Chlamydomonas reinhardtii: one gene and its partner. The protein of the gene in region 2 interacts with the protein of the main gene of each other region in a pairwise test. Links are inferred from orthologs where the notes say so. Each region holds a gene or a part of one and is shown on either strand. Other genes may lie near its edges. The genes, in order: CHLRE_02g110400v5 and CHLRE_06g258100v5.

Region 1 (4,463 bases), on a different chromosome or scaffold from region 2:
CTACAAAAAGAGACGCGCGGCGAGTGCCATCTTGCGCCACGAGTGCGAGCACGCGAGGCAGCAGCACGTGCGACGGATCCGACCAGCTGCTCAAGAGCTGCCCGTAGCCATCCTGGCCTCAGCTGCAACCCCAGCTTTACAGTCTATCCAAACCTACGGCCAAAGACCCCCACACGACACCCCGAAAGACCCCCACACGACACCCCGAAAACCTGCTCCACTACTCTCCCCTCCCCTCCCCTCCCTGTACCTCAATATAGTCCATGCCGCCTGAAGCGCCGGACAGCAGCAGGTCCAGCGAGTGCACGCCCGTGAACTTGGCCACCTGGCGGTGCAATGTAGCGCGCCAGCAGGGTAGCGCACGGATGCGTCATCCGGCTTCAGTGGACGACCGCTAAGGCACATAACGTCACACGGCAGCCCCCAAAAGATTAGTAAACGTTGCAAGCATATGTGAGCCCCCAAGCCTTTAACAGCTGCCAACACGTAGCCGCACCTGTGTGGGGTACTCGATGATTCCGCGTGCGTCGCCATCTACCGCCAACTCCCACTCCTGCACGGTGACCGCCGGCAGCATCAGCAGCCACTCACAAAGCACATCAAGCAGCATCCGCTCGTATCATGCACGCGCACCTGTACGGGCGCCGCCTGGGCCGCGGTCCCAAAGTCCAGGTCGTCTCGGTTTATGTAGGCCCGCATGCGGCCGGGAGCCGTGCCAGGCGGCCCCCGCGCGATGACACTGATAGCCTTCAGCTTAACCGAGCCATCAAAGCTGCGGCGCACGACAAGGTCATGCAAGACATTGTGAGGTAGGGAATGGCGCACATTTCACGCCGGTCGCTTATCGGCATCTACTCCTGGCGAGCGGAGACGACGCGCCCATCTGTCCTGCGTGCGCAGGCGTGCATGCATTGAAGAACCCCAGCCCTGAGGTGCGGCAGCAGCCCTCCCGCCACCAGGTTGCGGTGCCTAAAACTCACGGCACGTGTATCAGCACCTCCTGCTCGTCCTCGTCTTCATTGCTGCGCAGCGGCGTCTCCACCGCGTCGAGCCGGGTGTGCCACGGCCGCAGGATGTTGCGGCAGGAGCCCACGGACGCCTCGTTCAGGCACCGCACCTGCACGACGCGTACGAGCAGGACAAAGGGCTTTTCCATTTGCTTTTTACAATGGATTAGATGTGCGTGAATGCAGGCGTGTTGCTGCGGAACGCGCTAGGGTTGGAAGCGGCTTTGCAGCTACCGCGTGCTGGCACGCCCCTTCCCTCCCGACCTGGTCCACCGCCACGTGTTTGTAGAGCGAGTAGGCCACGCCGCAGTCAGCAGCCTCGCAATCATGGTCATGAGCACAGCAAGCTTTGGTCGGGGGCATGTTTGGCGAAGAGACCCCAAAAACGCCAAAACAGTTGGGAATCTGTCTTCAGCTGCAGCTGTTTAGACCGAAGGATGTAACCTAACAAGTGAGATGCACAAAGTATAGGACAAAGCACGCGTTGAATAACTACACAAGCCGATTCGCCCGAACCTGGATGCTGCCAATCCCCAAAGCGCCAGTATGCACCTGTTCAGTGAAACCTTTCACGTCCTTTTACGCTGTACTGTACTTAGGAACTAGGATCGCCCTACTAAAGCTGTGAACGCTTGCAACGAAGGTCGTCGGCACGAATTCCTGTGTAGAACCGGTTGGACAGTATTGGCCGCCTTGCTGGCGTCTTTACATGACACAATACCTGTACAAGTAAGAGTCATCTTAGACTGGGCGCAGGGCTCGGCGCCATTTGTGCTGGCCATCTCGCACCGGCCCTGCGCGGTGTGACGGCTGAGGATTTAGCAAATGGCACAGCTCTCCTCATATGCGAACGAGCTGGCGTCAGCCCTGCGGCGACGGGAAGGTCGGTGCCGGCAGGCGTGTTTGGGGGATGGACACGGCTGCATACCAGGCACTCCTGTCACGCATACCGAGCCCCGGGAATGGGGCTTTCTGGACTTCCATCGGTCTCGGCAAACGTAGTGCCCTCAGGCGCTAGCCTGCTCTCCGCTCCCGGGCCTTTTTTGCCCGCCATCGCCAACACTCAGTGCCCCATCCCCGCATTGCACCACCCCGCTCCCCACGGTTCGCCAACCCCAGGCCGCCAAGCCGCGGGCCTGCTGTCGCTGAGCTCCAACGCCGGCCTGGTGGCACGCAACCTAGCGGCGTCCGGGCGGCCGGTGCCCAGCAGCGGGCCGCTGGCGGCGCTACCCGAGGGCTGGCCGCCGCTGGTGTCCGCCTACCTGCGCTGCATGGTGGCGCAGAACAACGGCGAGCGGGCAACCGCATGCAAGTGAGTGACTGGATGTAATGGTGAGGGAATGCAGGAGCGGGAGCGGGAAAGGGGGCTGGAGGAGGGGTAAGGCGCGCAGGGAGCGAGCTGACCGGGATCGTGGCTTGAGGGCCCTGCGTGACGGAGTACAGCGAGGGTAAACGGGAGGATGCTGCGGTATGGCTGTGGTGATACCGTAGATGGCAAGTACCGGGTGCTGGTGCTGGGAAATGTCGGTGTGGCTCGATTTATGTTGCGTGGAGTGAAGAGGCCTGGCCCCCCATCACCGCCACCAAGCATATATGTGCTTGCCTGGTGTGCATGCCTATGTAATGCACGCCCCTCCTGCCTGCATCTGCGCACAGGGAGTACCGGGAGTATGCAGACGGGCTAGCATCCATGCTTAATGCAGACAAGGTAGGTGGCTGGTGGGCAAGCCGTTAGGCTTTGCACTGGTTTCAGCATTGGGTTACCAAGCAGTCTTGAGGTGCTCGGTGCCTGAGCACCCATGCGCGTATTTGTACGGTAGACCTCATCGTACTTGGAACCGCGGTGTATGCCACTAAAGCCAAGCATTCAGTGCTGGGGGCGCACGTTACCGTGGCTTGCATGAACTGGCGCGGCTGGTTGACTGTGGCCAAGTCCTACCCGTTCGCCCCCCTGTCTGCTGCAGGGCGTGGAGAGCGAGTGGATGATTCCCATTGCCCTGGGGGCGGCCTCAGCGCTCAAGGTACTGAGCGAGCTGGCCGACGAGGAGCTCAACCGCAAAGGGCTCACAGCAAACATGGTATGTGGCAGCTGTGGGCGGTTGGGGCGGGACGGGCAGTCTCAACTTGCAGTTTGGCTTGGGCGCGGTTGCGCGAGTCTCGTGCGGATGCTGCAGCACTGGCCGGCACCCGTGCATCCTCAGCTGCATCCGCCTGGTCTGTCACGGCACTAGCCTCGCGGTGTCCCGGGCGGGGGCGGGCCACCCGCGCATGACGCTCCCTCAAGCCACCTGACCTAACAATCCCCTCTGCACGTGTCATCGTCGCAGATGTCGGAGTGCGCCATCACGCTGCAAGCCTTCTTCCGCGGCCTGTCCACCAGCAAGTCCAGCCAGGTCAAGAAGGACGCCAGTGTGGCCATCGTGTGCGTGATGATGAAGGTGGGTGCGGAGGTGCGGGTGCATGTATGCCACGTGCTGCCGGACTGCAGCTGATGTTGCATGCTCTAATGGCTGTGGCGCTCATTCAGAGGCTTGGTTTACGATGTGAAGTGCAGGACCCTGCCCGCCCATCCCGACACCCCGCATCTGCTGCGGCTGTGCTCACCGGATGCGCTGCAGGTGTACTTCAAGCTGAACGCCATCAATAACTGCAAGCAGCCGCTGCAGCAGATTGAGGTGGCGAGGCTGTTCGACAACGCCAAGCAGGCGCACAAGGTGACGCTCAGGTAAGCAGCAGCGCAGCATAGCATGGTATGGCAGACGGATGCCGCCGCCCTGCTATCACCGTATCTTCGCGCCTCTGTGTGCATGCCCTGGCTGTCGCCGGCAATCCTCTGGGGCCCTATCCCACCATGCCGTCCCCTACTGCTTTTTGCTCCCTTACCTTCTTTTGTACGTTGGTGACGGTATGGATTTTGGAAACAACCCCTCTCATCACTACCAGGTACTACACCGGGCGGCTGGCCGCCTATGACGAGGACTTCCAAAAGGCGGACGAGCACCTGAGCTACGCCTTCGAGCACTGCCTCAGCGCCGCGCCCAACAACCTGCGCCGCGTGCTGCGCTACCTCATACCCGTGAGTAGTCGCCTGTCGGGCTGCCGCAGGGTCTTGCTGTGCTTTCTCCGGTTACCCTGTAGAATGCAGCTGCTCAACTGGGCGAATGTGGCAGAGCAGCGGACAACACGAGGGGACGCCCACAGCGGTACTGGTAATTCCTATTGTGCCGTTACCACCGCGTCGCCGCCCTGCCCTCCGTCCCACAGGTCAAGATGCTGTTGGGCGTGCTGCCGCGTCCGCAGCTGCTGCAGCGGTACGGCCTGACCGAATACGAGCCCATCCGCCAGGCGGTTGCAGGCGGCGACCTGGCGCTGCTGCTCAAGACGTTGGAGGAGAACCAGGTGCGACTCCCACCGTGCGCATGTGTTCTGTGGTGCAAACCTGCACGGTCGCCCGGC
Region 2 (4,418 bases):
GGTGGCGAGCGCAGGTGGTGATGGAAGAGAGCATTCTGGCGGCCATGGTAGCAGCAGGAGCCAGAACCGGCACGGCATGTAGAGCGTGCGCCTATCCGAACCCCCGCCCCCGATGCGGTCTTTTCACCTCGCGCTGTCACTCATCCCGTGCGGCGTGCGCTCTTAGCCCCAACCCCTGAGCCCCTACGCACCTTGAGCGCGTGCCGGATTTCGGGCGCGGCCGCCAGCTCCGATGGCACGTTGCGCATGGTGTGCAGCAGCGCCTTGGTCATGGAGCCGGCGTGCCGCCGCCCCGCTGTGGCGGCGTGCACCGTCTCGTACAGCAGCCGGTAGCCGGTGAACTCGGCCACACAGCCGGGCACGCCGTCCGCGTACAGGTGCCCCAGCCGCGCCTGGCACTGGTTGAACTCCGCCACGTCGCCGTACTCCAGGCTGCTGCGGCCGTGCGCCTCGTACACGCGCACCGTGAGCGCGTTGCGCAGGTGCTGCACCGTGCAGTCCTGCCGCATGCCCTTGAACTGGTCCAGCGAGTAGAAGTAGGTGGCCTCGCGCGACGCGATCAGCCGCACCAGCCGGTCCAGCGCGCGACACAGCACCGGCTCCGGCCGCACCGAGGACGGCTCGGGCTGCGAGGTGAGACGGAAGTAGGACTTCTCCAGGTTGTTGCTGGTGCCCACCACCACCTGCCCCCCGCCGAAGCGCCGGTCGTCATCCTCATAGTCGTCATCGTCATAGTCGTCCGACTCCGAGCCGCCGTAGCGGCCGGCCCCGGCGGCGCGGCCGTCGCCGAAGCGGCCGGCGCGCGCGCGGCGCTTCTGCTCCTCGGCTGTGGTGTAGGCGTGGCCGTGCGGGCTGGCCGCCGCGCCTCCGCGCTGGTGCTGCCGCGCCTCCAGCGCCAGCAGCTTCTTGCGCTTGCGGTTGCTGAGGTGCTGGTGGCCGCCGCCGTGCGGCGAGGGCGCGCCGTGGCGGTGGTGCTGCCCCCCGTACTGGCCGTAGTCCTCCTCATCCGAGTCCACGTCCTGCGACCGCTCATACCCGCGACCGCCGGCCGCCGACCGGTAATCGCCCGCGCCCGCGCTGCCGCCCGCCGGCACGTCGCCCCAGCGGTTGCGCTTGCGGCCCTGCGGCCCCGACGGCGACAGCGCGCCGCCGTCAGCGCCCGGTGCACCGCCGCCGCCGCCAGCTGCCGCGCCGTCTGGCAGCATGACCGCCTGCGTGTCCCAGTCGGTGGTCCACAGGCGGCCCTCGGACTTGACCTGGTCCAGGTACGCCATCAGCTTCTCAGACAACCGGTTGTCCGGCACACCCCGCAGCCGAGCCGCGTTGAAGCAGCGCGTCACCCAAGCCGTGAAGCTGGGAGGCCACTGCGTGTTGCCGCCGCCTGCCGCCGACGCGGGGCCGCCTGTGGCGGCGGGGCCGGCCTTGGCGGCTGCGGCCGCAGCTGCAGCCCCGGCCGCCGCAGCCGCCACGGCAGCGGCCACGCCAGTCTTGCCCGGCGCGGCGGTGGAGGGGGCGCCGCCGACGCCGATGTAAGCGGGCGCGGCGGCGGACCGGCCGGTGGGCATTTGTGGGCGAATGACAAACGGTGCCCGGCTGAAGCGCACGGCAACCGCGGCCGCATGCTGCTGTGGCGTGAGCTGCTGCTGCCCAGTGGCAGACGCAGGCGGGTCGCCGGGCGGCGGCCGCGGCCCTATCGGTGTCATGTTGGTGCCTGTAAGCCCGGTGCGCTGGTTGCGGTTGTTTTGCTGCTGGTGGCCGTTTTGCTGCTGGTGGCCGTACAGGTTTGCGGGCGGCGGCGCTGCGTTGTACGAGTCGACAACGCCAGAGTAGGGCTTGGAAGAGCCCGCAGCGGCTTGGACCGGCTTGCCACCCGTGCCCGGCGGCGGGTCGCCCTTAGGCGGCGCCGGAGGCGGTACGCCCGGCCTAGGCTGTGGGTAGCCTGGCTGGGAGGGATAGGCCTGCTGCGGCTGCGGCTGTTGTTGCTGCTGTTGCTGCTGCTGCCAATACTGTTGCGCATATTGCGGGTCGTAGCCGTAATACCCGTACTGCGCATACCACTGTGCGTAGGCTGCAGAGTCATAGCCGCCGTTTGCGGCTGCAGCCGCGGCACCTGCGGCCGAGCCAGCACCGGGCGTCACGCCTGCAGCCGCACCTGGGGCCGCAGGTGCAGACGGCGGGGGCGCGGTTGGCGCGGGCTTGGCGCTGGCGGTGCCAGAAGCGTGTGGCGGTCCGCCTGGTGGAGGTGGCGGCGGCTTCTCGTCATCAGCTGGTTTGTCCGGCTCCGCGCCGGGCGGGGGAGGCGAGGACGGGGGTGCTGGCGGAGGTTGCGCGACCGGGGGAGCAGCGCCGGTAGCGTAGGCCTGCCCCTGCTGCTGGTAGTACGCCGAGTAATCATAACCATTACCATAACCATATGCCGCGTAATACTGTGCATAGTAAGGGTCGGACATTCCCGGGGCAGCTCCGGCGCCTGCGGCGCCCCACGCAGTCTGCGGCGCAGCCGTCTGATACGCCATTTACCTGAACAACAACAATGAGACAGCGTTGAAAAAGGCTCCGAGGCGTAAGAGGACTGACAGTGACAGGGCGCGGCGCCGAATCTGAGAGCCCCGCCGAAACGGCTCCAAGCCCTCCCAAAGGCAGCAAGGGGAGTTAACGGACAAACAAAGCAACCAGAAACGCCCACCTGGTCCGAAGCGGGTGCCTCGCTGCTGAAGATTCGTGGGTCAGCAGTGGTGCGGCCAGTTAAGTGCAGCTGACGCCCATAACGGCCCACTATGGATGCTATGAGGAATGCGTTTACTGTGCGCTGCCAATCCAGAGTCCGAAGACGCAACGCAGGGGGATTTGCGAAGTTACAAGGAGTTGCCCTCTGAGCAGAAGATATATTACCTAGCGACTCCTACAACTATGCTGGTCCTTTTGAGTATACTGTATTGTGGAAAGTAGGCAGACACGGAGTTGGGCAGCATGTTGTTCAATGCGAGAGCCAGCCACGCCCATGCATGCTGGTTAGGCCCTCGATGGCACCTTTAGCCAGCTTCCTAAGAAGGCCCTTTGCAACTGTTACAGGTCTGATGTTCATCGGTCCCCAGGAAAACTCGTCTGCTTGCGGGTTATCGCACGCACTGCAGGCGCATACACGTGCATTCCTTCCCTGCGCACACGAGCGCCACCCCATAGCGGACCGTATCGTACTCCAGGCCACACTCCACCCCGGATTGCACCTGCAGGCCGGCCCCGTCAAATCTCCACCGGGCAGCTGCCCACTTCCTTAGCCATGCCGACCGACAAGTCCGGTCGAACCCAACAAAGCGCAGCCCCAAACCCGGAGGTCACGAGCCTACTCGTCATCGTCGCTGTCCTCGCCGTCCTCCATCCCCATCATGGCCATCATGCGCATGGCCAGGTCCGCCGCCCGCTCCCGCCGCTCCTCGTCCGACATGACGCCCAGGCGGTCCTTGTGGCCTGTGCAGGAAGGGGGCACAGCGAGAGCGCCGTGCGCAGGTGTGACCTCGGCAGCGGCGATCCAGCGGTGCGCAGGAACATGGACACCTGCAAATGTGAACATGCGATGCGGTGCTGCATGGCGGCGGAGGGAGGGGGTAGGTGACGTGGGCCAAGGAAGTTGGCTGCATGGCTCCGGCTCAGCACCACCCGGTACGGGCTCCGCGCGCCCCGACCGCCATAGCCGCCTTCCGCTCCGACTGCTGCCGTTGCCGCGGCGCCGAGGACGCCACATGAGCGGTAGCGGTATATCAGGGCCCGGTCCTAGCTATCACCGTGAGCGCGGCCCATGGTGCCCTGATGGCCGCATCACCATGACGCCAGCAGCTCCGTGCCATGCACAGCTCCGAGGGCATTCCCATGAGGCGATTCCAAGAGCCCAGTGTGCCTCACCCAACACGTGCCCCAGCTGCTGCTCAAGCGCTCCCCCTCGTCCACCACCACACAACAGTGACTTACCCCGCATCTCCTCCATTAGCTTCTCCAGCCCCTCCATCACCTTCTCCGCCTCCTCGTCCTCCGCCTCCTCGTCCTCCACCTCCTCGTCGCGCCGGCCCCCGGCTTTTGGTGCGGCGCCCATAGGTGCGGTTTCCGAAATGGCCGGGGCTGCTGCTGCTGGCTTGCCGGCCTCACCGCCCGCCGCTTTGGAACCCCCGTTGGCGGTGGCAGAGGCGTCCGCGTTTCGTGCTGTTGAGGTGAGTTGGGGTTTAGATGGCGCATCAAGCCCGCTGCTTGATGTTGCCGCTGCTGCCGCTGTGTCCTCCCCACCTAACGCCGTGTAGCCGCTGCCGGCCGCGTCCGCATCCTCCTCCACGTCGTCGTTGCCGGAGGCGCCAGCAGCTTCCAAGGCAGTGGCACCACCCGCGGCGGCTGCCTCCTTGCCCTTGTCAAGAAGCTCTAGGTTGGGCCAC

The links.
Region 1: the proteins of CHLRE_06g258100v5 (region 2) and CHLRE_02g110400v5 interact in binary tests that used the Arabidopsis thaliana proteins (3 or more experiments, as listed by UniProt). The link is inferred for Chlamydomonas reinhardtii from reciprocal best matches to the Arabidopsis thaliana genes SAC3A and EER5.

What each region holds. Positions count from the first base shown.
Region 1 is NC_057005.1:5,745,693-5,750,155, reverse strand, and holds the start of CHLRE_02g110400v5 (uncharacterized protein), read left to right. Parts: upstream 1-1,596; 5' UTR 1,597-1,832; coding exon 1,833-1,890; intron 1,891-2,126; coding exon 2,127-2,319; intron 2,320-2,663; coding exon 2,664-2,715; intron 2,716-2,971; coding exon 2,972-3,085; intron 3,086-3,334; coding exon 3,335-3,445; intron 3,446-3,625; coding exon 3,626-3,732; intron 3,733-3,950; coding exon 3,951-4,083; intron 4,084-4,271; coding exon 4,272-4,406; intron 4,407-4,463. Other genes in the region: CHLRE_02g110450v5 (uncharacterized protein), read right to left, coding at 251-325, 497-553, 634-772, 981-1,117, 1,272-1,370. UniProt on the Arabidopsis thaliana protein: Involved in the regulation of ethylene response. Probable TREX-2 component required for nuclear RNA export.
Region 2 is NC_057009.1:1,262,936-1,267,353, forward strand, and holds the start of CHLRE_06g258100v5 (uncharacterized protein), read right to left. Parts: upstream 2,938-4,418; 5' UTR 2,687-2,937; intron 2,521-2,686; 5' UTR 2,517-2,520; coding exon 192-2,516; intron 1-191. Other genes in the region: CHLRE_06g258150v5 (uncharacterized protein), read right to left, coding at 3,344-3,468, 3,967-4,418. UniProt on the Arabidopsis thaliana protein: Component of the TREX-2 complex (transcription and export complex 2), a muliprotein complex that functions in docking export-competent ribonucleoprotein particles (mRNPs) to the nuclear entrance of the nuclear pore complex (nuclear basket).